2 linked regions of the Drosophila melanogaster genome follow. The protein of the gene in region 1 purifies or fractionates together with the protein of each later gene. This does not show direct contact. Each region holds a gene or a part of one and is shown on either strand. Other genes may lie near its edges.

What was found.
Region 2: the proteins of Rbfox1 (region 1) and bru1 purify together in Drosophila melanogaster (affinity purification with western blotting, with the first as the bait; one study listed by BioGRID). This does not show direct contact.

What each region holds. Positions count from the first base shown.
Region 1 is NT_037436.4:10,478,318-10,486,028, forward strand, and holds the start of Rbfox1 (RNA-binding Fox protein 1), read left to right. Parts: upstream 1-3,094; 5' UTR 3,095-3,628; intron 3,629-7,711. Other genes in the region: CG46430 (uncharacterized protein), read left to right, coding at 220-745, 1,038-1,069.
Region 2 is NT_033779.5:12,202,814-12,210,420, reverse strand, and holds the start of bru1 (bruno 1), read right to left. Parts: upstream 4,579-7,607; 5' UTR 4,291-4,578; intron 2,713-4,290; exon of another isoform or gene 2,206-2,712; coding exon of another isoform or gene 511-2,205; exon of another isoform or gene 311-510; intron 1-310. Other genes in the region: CG31759 (uncharacterized protein), read right to left, coding at 511-2,205.

The DNA of each region.
Region 1 (7,711 bases):
AACCCGGATGAGCTGCAAGTTTTCCGAAAGTTTGCAACCTCACAAGTGCCACATAAAATTTATGGCTCTATTTTGAAAGTTGGCAGAGCATCGACAATGTTTCAGCTCGTACACACACACTTAATATGCCTAACTGTACAAAATCAATTAACAAGAAATGGAGCCACAAGTTCGACTAGTTCGTATTGATATCAGTTTGATTTTCATCATTGACAGACGATGTTGCTAGTTCTTGTCGTGTTGCAATTTATAAGTTTTACTTATGGCAGTGAGAAGAATAACCAAACCTATTCAGAATGCGAGGCTATGACTGCAAAAGACGAGCCAAATTTTGCCATTGTTTTTCAATGTCTTGTTGCAAACTATAATTTAAATGCAACTCTATTGGATATTATGATAAAGATGGATCAATTTCAACAAATTTTAAATCAAATTTCTAACGAACAGGAATATAAACAATCACCTTTTAAAAAAATTGATGACATTTTAGAAATACCTAGTGATTTATCCGGTAAAGATTGCCAATACAGACGACAAATAATGCAAGCCATACGCAGAAAACTGGAATGGTATAATGTTATGGACGATACGGAGTCTACACTTTTCGATTACGATGATGCCATAAAGCCAGAGATTTCTGAATCAGCACCGGAAAATGCGGTTTCAAAAATCGAACTGAGAACCGATTATAAAATGGTTTTAAAAGAGATCCGTTGCCTGCTGGCAAAATCCATACGAAATACAGGTAATAAATTAAGCTTTTAACCTCTTGTTGGCCCAATTGATTGCGACAATTAAGAAGGCACAAAAGGGTGACAGGTGCGAAAATTGTTCAGAAGGTCGGCGTTACTGACTGAATTTAAATTGTAAATAAATATGTGAGCATCTCTCGCCACAATAGCACGCAATCAACAAGCCTCACACGAAACTGTACAGCAAAGGTGATTGGTACACAGCGAAAAAAAAAACAAGTTTTTTATACTAACTATAAATTGCATTAATTTTTAAGAGCTAAAAAAGATGTTTATTTTTTACAGAACCGACCGTTGATGCAATAGAAAGCAATTAATTTGAAAACTGGAATAGGTTTCCCCTTAAAATGTGACTATTTTCGTATGTATTTTGAAGTTACAACTTATAAATAAATTTATGCTAAAATATTTTCTCCGTTTATTACCTAAATATTGTACATAAATATAGCATACAGCTAGTTTAAAAATAGAATTTATTTATGTAATTTAAAACAGTGCTTGAAGAACCTGCTGTGCTGGCATAAAAAAGTATGGTCACACGTGTGCGAAGCCCCCCCCCCCCTTGGCTTTTCGCCCAGCAGTTTGGCCTCGTTTTTAAATTGAAATCTCTGCAGCCAACACTGGACATTGCCTTCATTTCCCCGCGGACAGAGAAAGGGAGAGTTGTCCCTGCATTTCTCCCGTCCTTGCGGTGCTTTAAATAATTGCTTAGAAGCCGACGAGCAGACTCAGTGGTAACAATAATAACCGCCCAAGCACTCCGACTATGATAATAATAGCAAATAGAACCTGCCGCAGATGGAAATGCCACTCGGACAGACGCCGCTCCCCTTTCTCTTACTTTTCCACATAAGCCTTTGGCTTATGACCACACCCCCCCACTGCAAATGCATTTCACTTACTCTACACACACACACACACTCGTATAGTAGAGAAAGTAAGGGCCAGTGAGAGTTTGTGTGTTTATGCTCACTTTTAATGTGCCATATAAAATAATTTAATGACCGGCCAGAGACGAGGGTGTCTCCTGGTAATGAGAAAAGCGATTGGACAAAAACGGGTGGCTGTAAATGATAATAGTGGCATATTATGATGCAGATAGTCATGACAAATGGCTACGTCGAACTTTAATTGGTAAGCGGACTTGGACTGGATCGCCATATAGAAAAGCAATTATATCTGTAATTATAAACTTATCTATTTGCCATTAAGAATGGATTACAATGTTTGAATGCCATTTGTAAAGCCATAATATCTACAAAGTATAAGTAAACAAATTTACAAAAATGACTACAAAAAAAAAGTCTTAAAAAGTACTCAATACAATTTTCATGTAAATCAACCCTTTTCCATTTTCTCTTTCTCTCCTGCTGAATTTTAAATTGTTATTTTTAAATATTTTCGTTGGGCTTTTTCTTCGAGCTTAATCTGCGGAAAATTTTCCATCGGTTGCCTTAAGTCAACCCTAATTAGGTTATTCTTGGCAATCCCTTGCTCAATCCCCTTTTAAAGCGGCCTTAAAAAACGGAATTAATTTTCCGAAATTTATATTTTTCTTTTGATTTCTTTAGATTTTTGGTTTTGCTTTCGTTCTTCGTTCCCGATTTTCGTCCTTCCACTTTACTGTCCTGGTCATTTTCTACAAAATAGTTGCGCTTTATTTCCAGGCAACTTCGTCGCTCAAGTGACAGCTGTCCTCACCTCCACTTCCGCTAGAATGTCAATAAAAATTCAATTACGTTTTCCGCCAAAGAAAAGTTGCTGCTGAAAATACGTTTTCCTTATAGCCTTCTGTTTCCATTTAAAATTGCCTCTCTTTGTCGAACGGAATTTGTTTGCCAGCCTGATCGATTTGTGATGCTGGGCCGTGGAAATGTGGAAATCAGAGACTTGGGCACTTATACTTAATGGCCTAATTATGTAACCAAACGCCCACACACAAATAGGCTGAGTAAATAATCATAATAATCAGCATTTTGGCGGGGGAAAGAAGAAACCATAAACTTCTCGGGGTTCAAATAAAAATAAATTGTGCGACTAGGCTTGGGCAATTTGGCGGAAATGGTTTTCTGCCTTGAACACATATGTTTATAAGATTTATTCTGTTTTTCTGCTTATTTTTTGTGGTTAAATAGTTGGCCAAGTTTATGCTGATGATGCCGTAGGTCGTTGTGCATTAAACCAAATTTAATGTTACCTTTTATCAGGTGGCATTAAAGAGCTCTTTCACCAAAAATATACATTTTTCTCATCCCTCAAGTAAGCATCAAACTGTTATACTGACTGTAGTGTTATACGGCAAAGGCTGCTGCATACTTACAGGCTCTTTTGCGCAAAATTTCAGTCTCCCATTGCAAGTGCTCACGTGAGGACGGAAAACATTTTGCTCATCGCTTTCGCCTCGCGCATTGGCAAGTCGCGTAAAATTCTCGTGTTAACAGGAAAAACGTCACAAATTTTTCAAAACCACCCCAAGTCCCATTACCCGCAGTGGGAAAAACCTCAAATTCCTTGGGCTATCCGTATCAATCAACGACTAAAGGCTTAGTGTCCCTTTGTGATTGTGTGTGCTTTTTGTGTGTGCACTGTGTATTTCGTTGTGCTGCCGGCTTCAATTAGCAGCTTTTCCTCATTCTGCCCGCTGCTCTTGTGTGCGTTAGATTAATGAGGCAAAAGTGTTTTGTCGTGTCGTGCGTTAAATATTTAATACAATATCAAATAAATGTTGCATAAGCCGCCTGTCATTTAGCATCTAGTGCCAAAAGCAAAAAAAAAAAGAAAACACAAAAACGTGTGTTTGTTTCGTGTGTTTACCACAAGTAATTCGGACAGCAAACGGATTCTTTTTTCACGATTCACAAGAGCACGTCGATCAAGTAAGCCTTAGCTATTAAATATCACAGAAATAAAAATGTATCCCATTTAGCACATTAAGTTACCCATTTGAACAGCTTTTATTGGACTAGTCTTCCGCTGAGATATCTTGAGAATTTGCCCATTTCCCAAACGCATTTAAAACATTTTTATTGCCCATTTTTGCTTTATGTCCCGCATTAAAACATCTCCCGCTACGTAAAGATAATTTTGATTTGATATTCGTGTAATTTTTCCATTTGTTATTTGCCCGACTTCCATTGTTGATGGTCTGGCAGGGAATTTCGATTTGCGTTTACCCTTCATTTATTTTCAGCTGGAGATGCAAATAATGGTAGAAATGCCCGCAAAAATACTTTTACAGCAACAGGACTCCGGGGCCGATTTTCATTTCAAATTGCTCACATTAAGGGGCCACCCCCCCCCCCACCGGGCATCACAATCTCCCCCCTTTTATGGCACTCACATACCCTGTATCTGTGCATATATCCCCTTATTACCCAGCGCAGAGTACGAAATTAATTGTAACCAAACGTTTTGCTGCTTGCCGCAAACTTACTTTTATACTAGTTCATTTGCCACGCCCCTATCCCCCACGGAATGGACGCACAAAGACAACTAAAAGGGTATACACGCACAGCAACACTGAGAGAAATGGGTTCTGCATCGATAGTTATAGTTTTTAAGCCAAAATGTATGCTTATATTTTCTATTGCTTAATTTAAGACTTCTTTTTAGTGACTTTGAGCCTTTACTTTAAATAACTTTAAACTTTACTTTAAATAACAAAATCGAAGTTGTGACAACAGTTTTTCCTGCGTGAGCTTATACAAACACGTGCATGTACATGTGGAGCAAGAGGTAGCTAGCATCCCAACTAAGTAAATAATGCGTAAAACAAGTCAAGCGTTTTACAAACTCACCCATTTCGCCATCCCGTTTCCCCGTTAAACAAAGGGGGTTTCCACTGCAAAACGGGGAGTTTCCCCCATTTAGAAACAGCAGAAACAGTCAATTGTAAAATTGCTGCAGCCAACAAAGCGTGGCAAGGAAGCTAAGCGAGTGGCTCAGACTGTTTCCATAGGTAGTTGTTGCCCGATGTTGATGACGGCTAGGATTGCCGGATTCCCGGCACAAGAATCTCCACCGTATGTAATTCATTATTATGCTGACTGAGGCTGGAAGGCACTGACGGTAGAAGCCAGAAGCAGGAAAAAATATTTGCGCACATGTGGCTAGAGTTTCCATCACTTCAGCGTGCTGCTGTTATTCTTGTTAAGGCTAAAATTGTCTGTCACTTTGAGACTTCCGTCATCTGCAGGATAAAAGCTGTGGGCGAAAATATGCGAGCGAAAAATGAGACTCCACATTTTGGTTGTATGCTAAATACTTCACGGTCCACGGTCCTGTTTATGCAACAAGGATGTCTTTGAAAATATCAACGTTGGTTCGCAAAAAAGGATACCTATTGTATATATCGGGCTTAGAAAAATAGGGGATTTTAATACTAAAAAGTTTTAAAAAACTTAAAACTTTCGTGACATGTGAAGATGGCTCTCATTTATCAACGCTACAAAAGTAGCTCAAAATGGCCCTTTTGAAAATATAAGGACATGAAAACGATCAAATATACCACCTGTGTCGCAGTCAAAATGTAACAACAATTGAGAACAATAAACAAATGGCACACAAAATCAAAGTTTGGTTCGCTTATCTTTGTTTGACTTCTCTTCACTTTGACCCACCAAAAAGTTTTTATTTTTTTATAATGTCCTCGAAAAATGAGCGCCATAAATCATGGGGCGTAAATATGCCACCCCCATTTATCTCGTCTAACAAAGGGAAAACTTGCACCGTAAATTTGTATAAGCAGCAATTACTTAAAAAACTCCGAACCTTGACTTGTTTAGCCAACCAATGAAAAACTCTATTGTCAACTACAATATTTTTCCACAGCTCCATTTGCAGTTATTTACATGAGCAGATCCACATTTTTGGGTGGCAGATGGGTGCTGTGCCTGATATTTTTTTTTATGCTTACTTGCGACATCGCATTTTTGCACAAGACTTCTAAACTATATTTCGGACAATATGCAACATGATATTTTTCATGCTTATTCAACAGAAAAAAAATGAGAAGAGATTGCACATACGTTCCTCACAGAATTTCAATAAAATAGAGTAGGAATTTATGTGCACGATATGTTTCCGAGATTCTATGAGCATGTAATTTGTGGGTATTTCTGTCACAGTTTATATGTACAAAAATGTGCATTGCAGTATGCAGAGATCTAATGCTTTCCTTTTTTTTATTACTCAACTCATTTTGAAACTAGCCTTTTTAAATGAAATTGCCAAGCAGTATATACTTATATTATTGAATATTGATTTATTTAATTATTATTTGAAATGAAAAGTATTTTATTCCTTCCATTTTGTAACCCCTTTTCATATCCTTGCAAATAATTTGTCTTATTATGCTCCCCACTTTCGGGCATCATCCATCTTAATCGCTTTGACTTCTTTGGGTGGTTTTTCCTCTCATTTTTCTTCTTTTCCCTTTTCTAATAAGCCTAATGGCAACGCTGTAACCATTATTTCAAAGAAAAGCGTATAAATATAATTTATTCCACATAAACTTGATTAAATGCTTCTCTTTTCCACTTTCCCCCTTGCATTAGCATACGAAAAGTGGAAATGGAAAAATCCTACTTAAGTTCTTTCCTTCTGAAAAACAGTAAACTTTCCGCACACGCAGACCACATGGAAAAAAAAAAGCCAAAAACAGAAAAGAAATAAACTCCTTTTCTGATGATGATGGCCTGGTTGAAATCCGCTTAGCGAAGGATACTTACATCCTGGCAGCTGCCACCTGCTGCTAGTCCTTCCATTTTGAACCATCTATCTATCAGGCAGTTCGTCGAAAGCCCCATTCAATCAGATATATCATCAATCATGCCCAGCATATTTCCAGCGATGCCGAAACGAATGACAACAAATATTTTTTAACCAGCACATCGTAAATGTCGCATTCAAATTGCACAGAGAAAATCGGCAAATCGATGTGAAAAATCCGCAAAATTTCAATCATTGGGTTGAATACGATTTCCACGAGAGATGAATTGCTTTTCATTTTGCTCGAAATTGGGGTTAACAAACTCATTAGATCTCTTGGCATCATTATGCAAGCAGAGATACAGGCTCACTAGGGCAGATAGTAGATACAAAAAAAAGTAGTTAGTTAGTTAACTAAAACCAGAAAATAGTAATTTATTGTATTATGAAAAACAAAAGAAAGAAAACCTTATAAGATGAAGCTATCGATTTGTAATATAATTTTAAAATGTTAGGATTTTTAAACATTCTGTTTAATTGGTATGATACACTATAGATCGATTGCTATATTTGTTAAATTATCGAATTTTTAATTTTACCAACCATTGAATAACATATTTTTTGGATTTATTTTGTCGAGTGCATAGATACGCACCCATTAAGTATGCGCCGTGTGGTTCCACTTCCGCGTATCAATGCCGCCACAATGACGCTGTAGCTGCTGCTGCTTATGCTGCTGCTCCATTTAGCGTGAAAACATTTAAGCCAACAAAAGCAGATCTCAAACGCACCCACACAAGCGCCTCAAAGTGGCATACACCATGTATAAGATATTTTTACTGAAAAAAAAGAACTGCGGTGATGGTGAAGGTCAGGCCGTTGTTACGTTTTTTGGCCTAAACCCCATGGCCTTTTGCTCGTTGTTCTTGTTGCTTCGCATGTAGTTAAATTGTTTTTGCCACTGCCATTGCCCATTGCATCCGCCCTTTCATCTTACATCTCTTTGGCTCTCTTCGATCATGCGCACTTTGACCTTGCTCGTAGCACAGTTTTTGGTGATGCTGTCTTGGACCTTAGTTGGCCGTATAACAGTTTAACAGTTGCAGACTTTTGGGCGCTATTGGACTGCTTTTCTGCATTTTCTTTACTTCCTTTTGTTTTCATAACTTGTGTGGCCACAGGACACAGTAAAAATAAATTTTGTTCAATTTTTTTTTCCTTTTTTTTTTGATTTAGGTATTTGCGCGTCA
Region 2 (7,607 bases), on another chromosome or scaffold:
AATTAGTGCGAAAATCACTTCAGTTGGCTTGGGATATTTTTTCGCTCTCGGATTTCCTTTCAGCTTTTCGCGCCATTGTTGTTGGCGCCACCTCCGCAACGGAGCGTTTTTCCTTGGCGAATTTTCACGTTAATTGCTCTGCGTCCTGCAATCAGCCGGAAAACAGGAGCAGATGCCGGGAAAGCCAGCTGCTTGCAGGCGAGCTATAAGCCACTCAGGGATTTACTCAATTTGTTGTCACTTCATTCCGCAATTTATTTCGGTTTATTTTCCGTGTTTTACTTTAAATCTACGCAGTTTCTTTTTTTTTGTTTATATGCCACAGTTTATAAAGGAGAAGAAGCATTTGTTAATAGGCCAGGATTTGTTGAACGAATTTTGTTTTGTATATAAAGAAGAAATGAGTATTATTACATTTAAGCATAGTATTTGGCATACGTATACATTTATTTATGCTGAGAAATCCCCGAGATATTCTTAATTTTTCTTATATGCAAGCCCAAAAATTTATCAATCTGACTTAAATTTGAGATCTGCTACAAGAGCAACATGATCGGATGGAAAAACAGCCGATGGTATCGCAGTATTGGCTTTCAACTCCTCCTCCGTTGGCAGTGGCACCACCTTTAGAACTTCGAAGCGATCGTTTTGGTAGAACACATAGTCCAAGCAACCCGCAAAGAGGGTGGTGTAGTGGGTATATTCCGGTGCCCCATAGGCTGATGCCATTTTGAAAGGCTGCGCGAGTTCCACATTCGAAACCGCCTGCTCGGCATTACTTTGCCAGTCCTCCAGTGTTTTTTCGGCGAGCTGCTCCGTCATCAGCTTGTAGATTCCACACTCGGGAACGCTATTGAAATCGCCACAAAATATTAGTCCAATGTTTTTGTGGCTACTTATGTTAAAGTCCTTTATAGCTTTGCTAATAGATTGCTCTACGAATAGCATGGAAAATCCCATTTGCAGCAGGCGAATGTGATCTGCATCCGGATGGAAATATAAATGCGTGTTGGCCACCAGAACGTAGTTATCGGTACCCTTTATTCTAAGCAAACAAGTTTGCAGAGTGGTGGACCGTTCACAGATTCGTTCTGCTAATTGTGCGTTAACTTTGATCTTATTCCAAAGGCTTTCAAATACGGGCAGTGCGGGAATATTGGACCCCAAATGCAGGATTTGAGAATCCAAGAGATCGAAGCGCGAGTTCCGAAAGAAAATTGCCACTCCCTCAGCGCATTTGCCTTTCGGGGCCATTATGCCGTGATAGTTATACGGCGGTTGTTCTAGAATTTCCTTTAAATCAAAATCAAATATTCGCTGATCGACTTCTTGTAGACAGAGAATATCGGAGTTATAACCGATGATCTCGTTGATGAACAGTGGCTTCCTATAGTCTATTTGCAGATACTTTGCCGGGCAATAGGAGAACAGAGTGCTACCGGCATAGTCACTACTGGCATATAAATCGGCCAACAAATTGTAAGACACCACACGAATTTCATTCGATTCGCTCAAAGAATTCGTGGTGTGCCTTTGGCGATCTTGGAATGGACAACGCCCGGGAGATTCCTGCACTGCAGAGTTGGTTATCTTCTCCACCACAGGACCCGTCATTCCCAGTGCATTACCCGGCGTCACCACGAACTTCAAATGGTAACCAATATCCTCAGGAGTCACTAGATATTGAAATCCTTCTCCGCACACCTCCCAATCGGTGTCTGTGGGCTTTTTGGCCTTGAACCAAACTGCTTTGCTGAACTGACGTTCTCCGAATTGTATCTGAACATTGGTGGGGTATATTACAAATCCTGCCAATATGCATGAGGGCAAAAATTTTAGGGATGAAATCCACGGTGGATTGAACACCAAATCGTAGACCGTATCTAATACCTGCAGTTTTACATTGCTGATATCTTGGGTGACGACTAGATCCTCAAATGTTAATTCATTGAATTTTTCACCATATTTGTCACTCAGAAGTTTAACATTGATTTCTGCCGGCGGTTTGATTTTTGATTTTTTGCAGGACTTTGCAAGCCTGCCAATAATATTACTCTGAATCCTGGCCAATATCGCATCAATGGGCTCATTCATCTGGCGACGGAAATTGAATTCCCGGTTTATTTTCAAATTCTCATTCACAAAGCGAAACACAATGTCCAATTCTTTGGTATCACTTGCATTTCTCAAATAAACCTTCTCCATTTTACCAGCCAAGGAAGTGCCACAAAATCTGGACAATAGCGAAACTCTAGTTGGAGTTTTATTTCCGAATAATTTATCAGAATTGCGAACTATGTTTTTAAACAAAAAAAACCCCATCAATGTTGCAAATGTTGGAGCGAAGATCGGCGTTGAAGAAGAGAACTTCTCTTAGTTGACTTGTTTTTCGCCGTTTTATCTGGGAAAATTTTGGGTTAGACAACTTTACTTGGTGCACCGATGTCGTAACAACTCACTTGTCCAGATTTAGTTGCAAAATTAATCACATTTAAGTTGTTTTACACCTATTTACAATCGGCAAACAGTCGTGTTGCACGAAAACACCGCAGAAATTAGGCGAAACTGCGCCGATTTCGATAAAAACGAAGAGAGATTTTTACTTTTTCGCTCTGCCACGCCGCGCGATCAGCTGTTGTTTTTGGCATTCACAACGAAACCAACCACATGCTCGGCATTGAGAAACAGCTGATCTTGAGAGAGCTTCTGCCATTAGCAACGTTGAAGCTTTGACGCAAAAGCTTTTAATAAAAGCTTTATTTAATTTCAAATCTTGAAAGCAAAAAGATTTCACTTAAATATTACTTTTTTTCATAAAATTATAAAGCTGATAAATATATGAAGAGTTGCTATGATCTGAAATTGAACATATCGAAGAATAGAAGATTTTTTCTATGAAATAGAAAAAAAATTTCTATATAGGAAACGTTTATTCCTTTTTTGTGGTCATTAGGAGGAACATTATTATTCGCAAAATATACACCCGAACAAAACTATAAAACCTCCTATTTCACTTCAGTTGAAAACTATTTTCACGGCAAACGTCGTAAACATTAAGCTAAGTGTTACGATCCAAATGAGACATCTTGCCCCAACGAAGGAAACTCAACTTTCGGCCAAGTTAAGAAAGGACAACTGAGACGACGGCCATAAAAATTCGAAACAGAAGCCAGATCATATGTGTAGAGCGTATTTGGCAAAGGGGTGGACCAAAGGTATGGAGCACACAAGTGCATAAAACGCCGAAACAAGCCAAGAGATGACTTGGCCAGGCCAAAAAGGAATTGGCTTGGCCCCGAAACAGAGTCAACAACTGTGCGCCACACAAGAGTTTGCCAAAAAGATTGCACTACGAAGGAGCAAATGAAAAAATAAAAATCAAAAACAAGAGAAAAATCGCATAGAACTCTATAAAGGACACAGAGGACCAAAAAGGACAACAACCTGACTGGCAGGGCAAACGAAACCAGTTGAAGAAATGTTGCTGACACCAAAAACGAAACTGCAGGAAGACGCCGATGATGAGGATGAGCCAGGGAATGAGGCTAAGCCCGAGGATGCAGAGAGCATCCTTGGGCCCGAGATGTGGAGCAGAGGCGGTAAGGACAACAACGAAATTAGTTAGCACTTGAGAGAAAGCAGCTTTGGCTCAGTTCCAGGACTCGTTGCTGGCTTACAACACCTGCGGGAAAAAGAAGAGGACTTTTAGCTGCTCCTTCTGTTCCCTACTCCTTTCCTATTGACCCGAACCAGAGATGGCCAAAAAGCTTCGATTAGACACAGTGGATGGAACAAGGACTAGAAACTAACTATAAGTCATTTAAGAGTTTTACATATTGAACATTTTTTAAGCAATATTATATACACTTTTCAAAAATTTACCAGCATTTATATTGAAATTAAGTATAGATGATTATATTCGATAGTATATTTCTGAGATATAAAGATTAAAATCCACCAAAAATCAGCAAAATAGTTAGCTCATCTTCGACAGAAGTGGTGAAAAGCAAGTTCTTGGAGGCAGGCGGCAGCAATTAAATAGCTTCGAGCACTCCGAACTCAATTGCAGCAATTTCAATAACCGTCGAGGACACTCAAAGGACGGCAAGGTCCTTGCGATAATCTGTCATGCAGCGTGGAAGCCCAAGCACCGTGTCGCACACACCCACTCACACACACACAGCACACAGGACGAGTTCACAGCACACCAACCCACTTTCCATTCACACTCAAGGACAACTAGAATATCCGCTTTTGGTCTGAACACTTGAAGAACTTTCTTGCACTCACCTATTTCACTTGCTGCGGGAATTTGCTATATTTCTTCTTATTTTCCTTTTTACACTTGTAGAATTTGTAGCCGAAAGCGGATAACTGGGCTATTTCATTTGTAGTCTTGTGGGGGTAAATACTTTGTATATTTTTTTGTAGATTTTCTTCTTAAGAATTATTGATAAAAGCATGGAAGAGTGACGCGGTACGGCCGAAAGGTTAACACATTGAGAATTTTGCCACCAATAAGCCGAAAAATTGATAAACTTTTATAAAATTATATGTACGTTACACAATCTGATTTGGAAACACTACAACTAAAAATCTATATTGAATCGATTTGACAAGCGTTAGCGCAGCCAACTGGGATGCAAAGCTCTCGCTGTTCATTTTTTATTTTTTATGAACTTTGCTAAAATAAAACTAAATTAAATTTAAAAAAAAGCAAATGAATTGGATACCATAATTGATTGCTATCACTGATTCATATCAGTCGTTCAGCTCACCAAGTCGAACGTTTGACATTAGCAATAAATGAATCAACAAATATAAAAGTTTTGCCAAGAAAGTAATTTGCTAAAATTGGCGAGTCGAGAAAGAAAGTCAAGAGGGTGAGTGGAAAAAAAACCGAAAGAAATTCAATGAGGCTGAAAATTTCCTGGCTCGATGCCAATTGAAGGCAAAGAAAGAAAACAAAACTCGAGTTTCTAATCAATTAAAAAATACAACGAGCGGCGGCAGGGGCAAATCAAGAGTAGAGGGTACGATTTTCGGCAATAAATAAATTACAACCAGCATGCAGTCAAAGCGATTAAATTGAAGGGGAGGCTTCCAGGACTATCTGATGCCGAAGAAAGTACAAAACTTCACTACGTCTGGTGCAATTTTAATTACGACTGCGATAGGAGCAGGTCGAAAGTAATGGCAAGGAGCAAAGACACCAGTCACGAGATACACAAACTCGTTGCGACTGCGAGAATACCCCGTATCTTATTGTGTTGTTTATAGAAAATGTAGGAAGCTACTTTTTGATGATTACATGGAGTCTTTCTTTCAAATTTGCATGAATATTTCGAAGAATATTTACATGAATTGTTTGAAATCATTGCTATATGGTTGTAGATTTAAAATTTCCAAAATAAATACTACTATAAACGTTAACAAATTTTATAAAGATTATGTTACTTATATATTATTATATTATATATTTTCTCCTCATATTTCAATTTCCAAAACCCTAATATGATAATATCCCTAATATCCTAATATATCCCTAACTTAAAACTTCTTTATAGTACCATTTACAAATGAATTAAATTTTAAATCGATTTCAAAAAGGCTTTTCTTGAAATGTCCTTTTGTCATTAATCAAAAAAAAATCTCTCAGTTGCAAATTTCTTTATCGTAAATGCAACATGATATTAAAAAAAATTAAAAATTAAAAAAAAAAATTGGTAACCCATATTTGATCCAAATTACTCCATGTGTAATATATCCTTAGCGCAACTTTTACAGGGTATAGCAGGGCGAAAGGCGCCGAGTCGACTAATCCTTTGGCAAAGTCTTTGACAGTTGTCTTAGATTGCACAACAACAAAGAGGAGAAACACAATAACATCTTCATTATTATCATTATCATTGTTTCCAGCACTGTGGGATGAAAAAGTACAATAAACGAATAAGTACAATAAATAAGCAAACGAAGAAACAACAAACATTATCGCACATCATTATCGTTGTCATTCAGAGAGCGTCGTTCCAGCTTAAAAAAGCCAGCCCAACAAATATATGTATATATATATATACCTATATATATTTGCTTTATTTTGGTGTTTAGTTAGTTTTTATGAGCGTCATTATTTTCGCTTGCCATGGCGCTAAGCATCTTAAGTGGCTCCTGCTCCCGCATTTCCCTCCTATTTTTTAGTGGAGCACTTTCCTCGTGTATTTGTTTTCATAGGCGCAAAATGTCTTCGTCAACTTTTGACGATTTTATAATTTAACTTTTGCCGGGAGAGCTCCTCCTTTTCTCCATTCCTCCATTTCCGCCCGCCGGTTTTTCCTCTTCCTAGTTTCGAAAACAACTTAATAATAAGTGAGTGCTGAGTGCTGGTTGGAGGAAAGTTGACTTGGTTAGAGAAAGACGCCTGCAATTAAGGTGGCACCACCAAGGCTGTGTATTTTTGTTGGGTCTTTTGGGCTAGGCAATTATTACAGGGGATCCAGTGCATTTAGAAAGTTTTCTGTGCGGAAATAATTGTCAAGGATAACCATGGTAATTGTAGGGAAAAACTGATAAACTGAAAAGCAAAGCTCGTTGCTCATTGTTGTCTTTTGCACACAGAATTCTGAGCAAAATGTTACTAAAATAGGGGCATTGCAAATGCAAGAAGCCCATACGAACGTATTTTCTGAAGACAAATTAACAAATACATTATCATTAAACATTAAGTACTCATATTTGCTGGTCAATTATGCATTAAGATACTCAAAATTCCATGATATTTAGGCACATTAAATAAACAACATACTAAAGATTATAAATATATTTTTTAAATTATATGTATTCATTGTCACAATTAGGCCACAAAGCCCTAACAGGAACGTTTTTTTAAGATCTAGCGAATTGTATTCTATTTTAAAAACTTTATTCTAGTAATATAACCCAATGACATTTAAAAGCTTCTTAATATAGAAAATAAAATAAATTGGGTTGGAGAACAAATAACTTATTCCTTTGAATAGCATTCAAGACATCTGCAAGTGAAGTCTACTACGTTAATGCCATCTCCATTTAATACCTGAGCTTACTCACCTGTTAACTTAGCCCAAAAGGGTTGTTACCAAACTAATTTCAGGTCCTAAAAGTTTACTCTAAGTTAGCTAATTTGATTAAGGTAAATGGACTGGCCAGCTGTAAAGGCATAATGTTTAAGATACAGCCATTTAAATACAGCCATTTGCATACATCACTCGCAGGCATCGTCATCAATATAAATTTGTTTTGTCAGAGCTGCTTTATTTTGTAAATATCGAACAAATGGCTTGGAACATAAGTGAAGCATATGTTGAAAGCTGGAGGAATCGTATACGAAAAGCGTAAACAAGCTGCTTTTCATGTTTGACATGCGTTAGGAAAAAAAAATGAAAGAACTAGGAATCCACATTTTCAACATATTACACACAGTCAAGCAAGTAAAAACAATAAAAAAAATACATACAAAACAATCACAATTCACACAAAGAAAAAACAATGTTAAGAACACTAAAGGACCCATTGCAAAAAGGTTGCTAGCGAGCGAATAAAAAAGAATCTTTAAGCTTCTTTTTTATCTG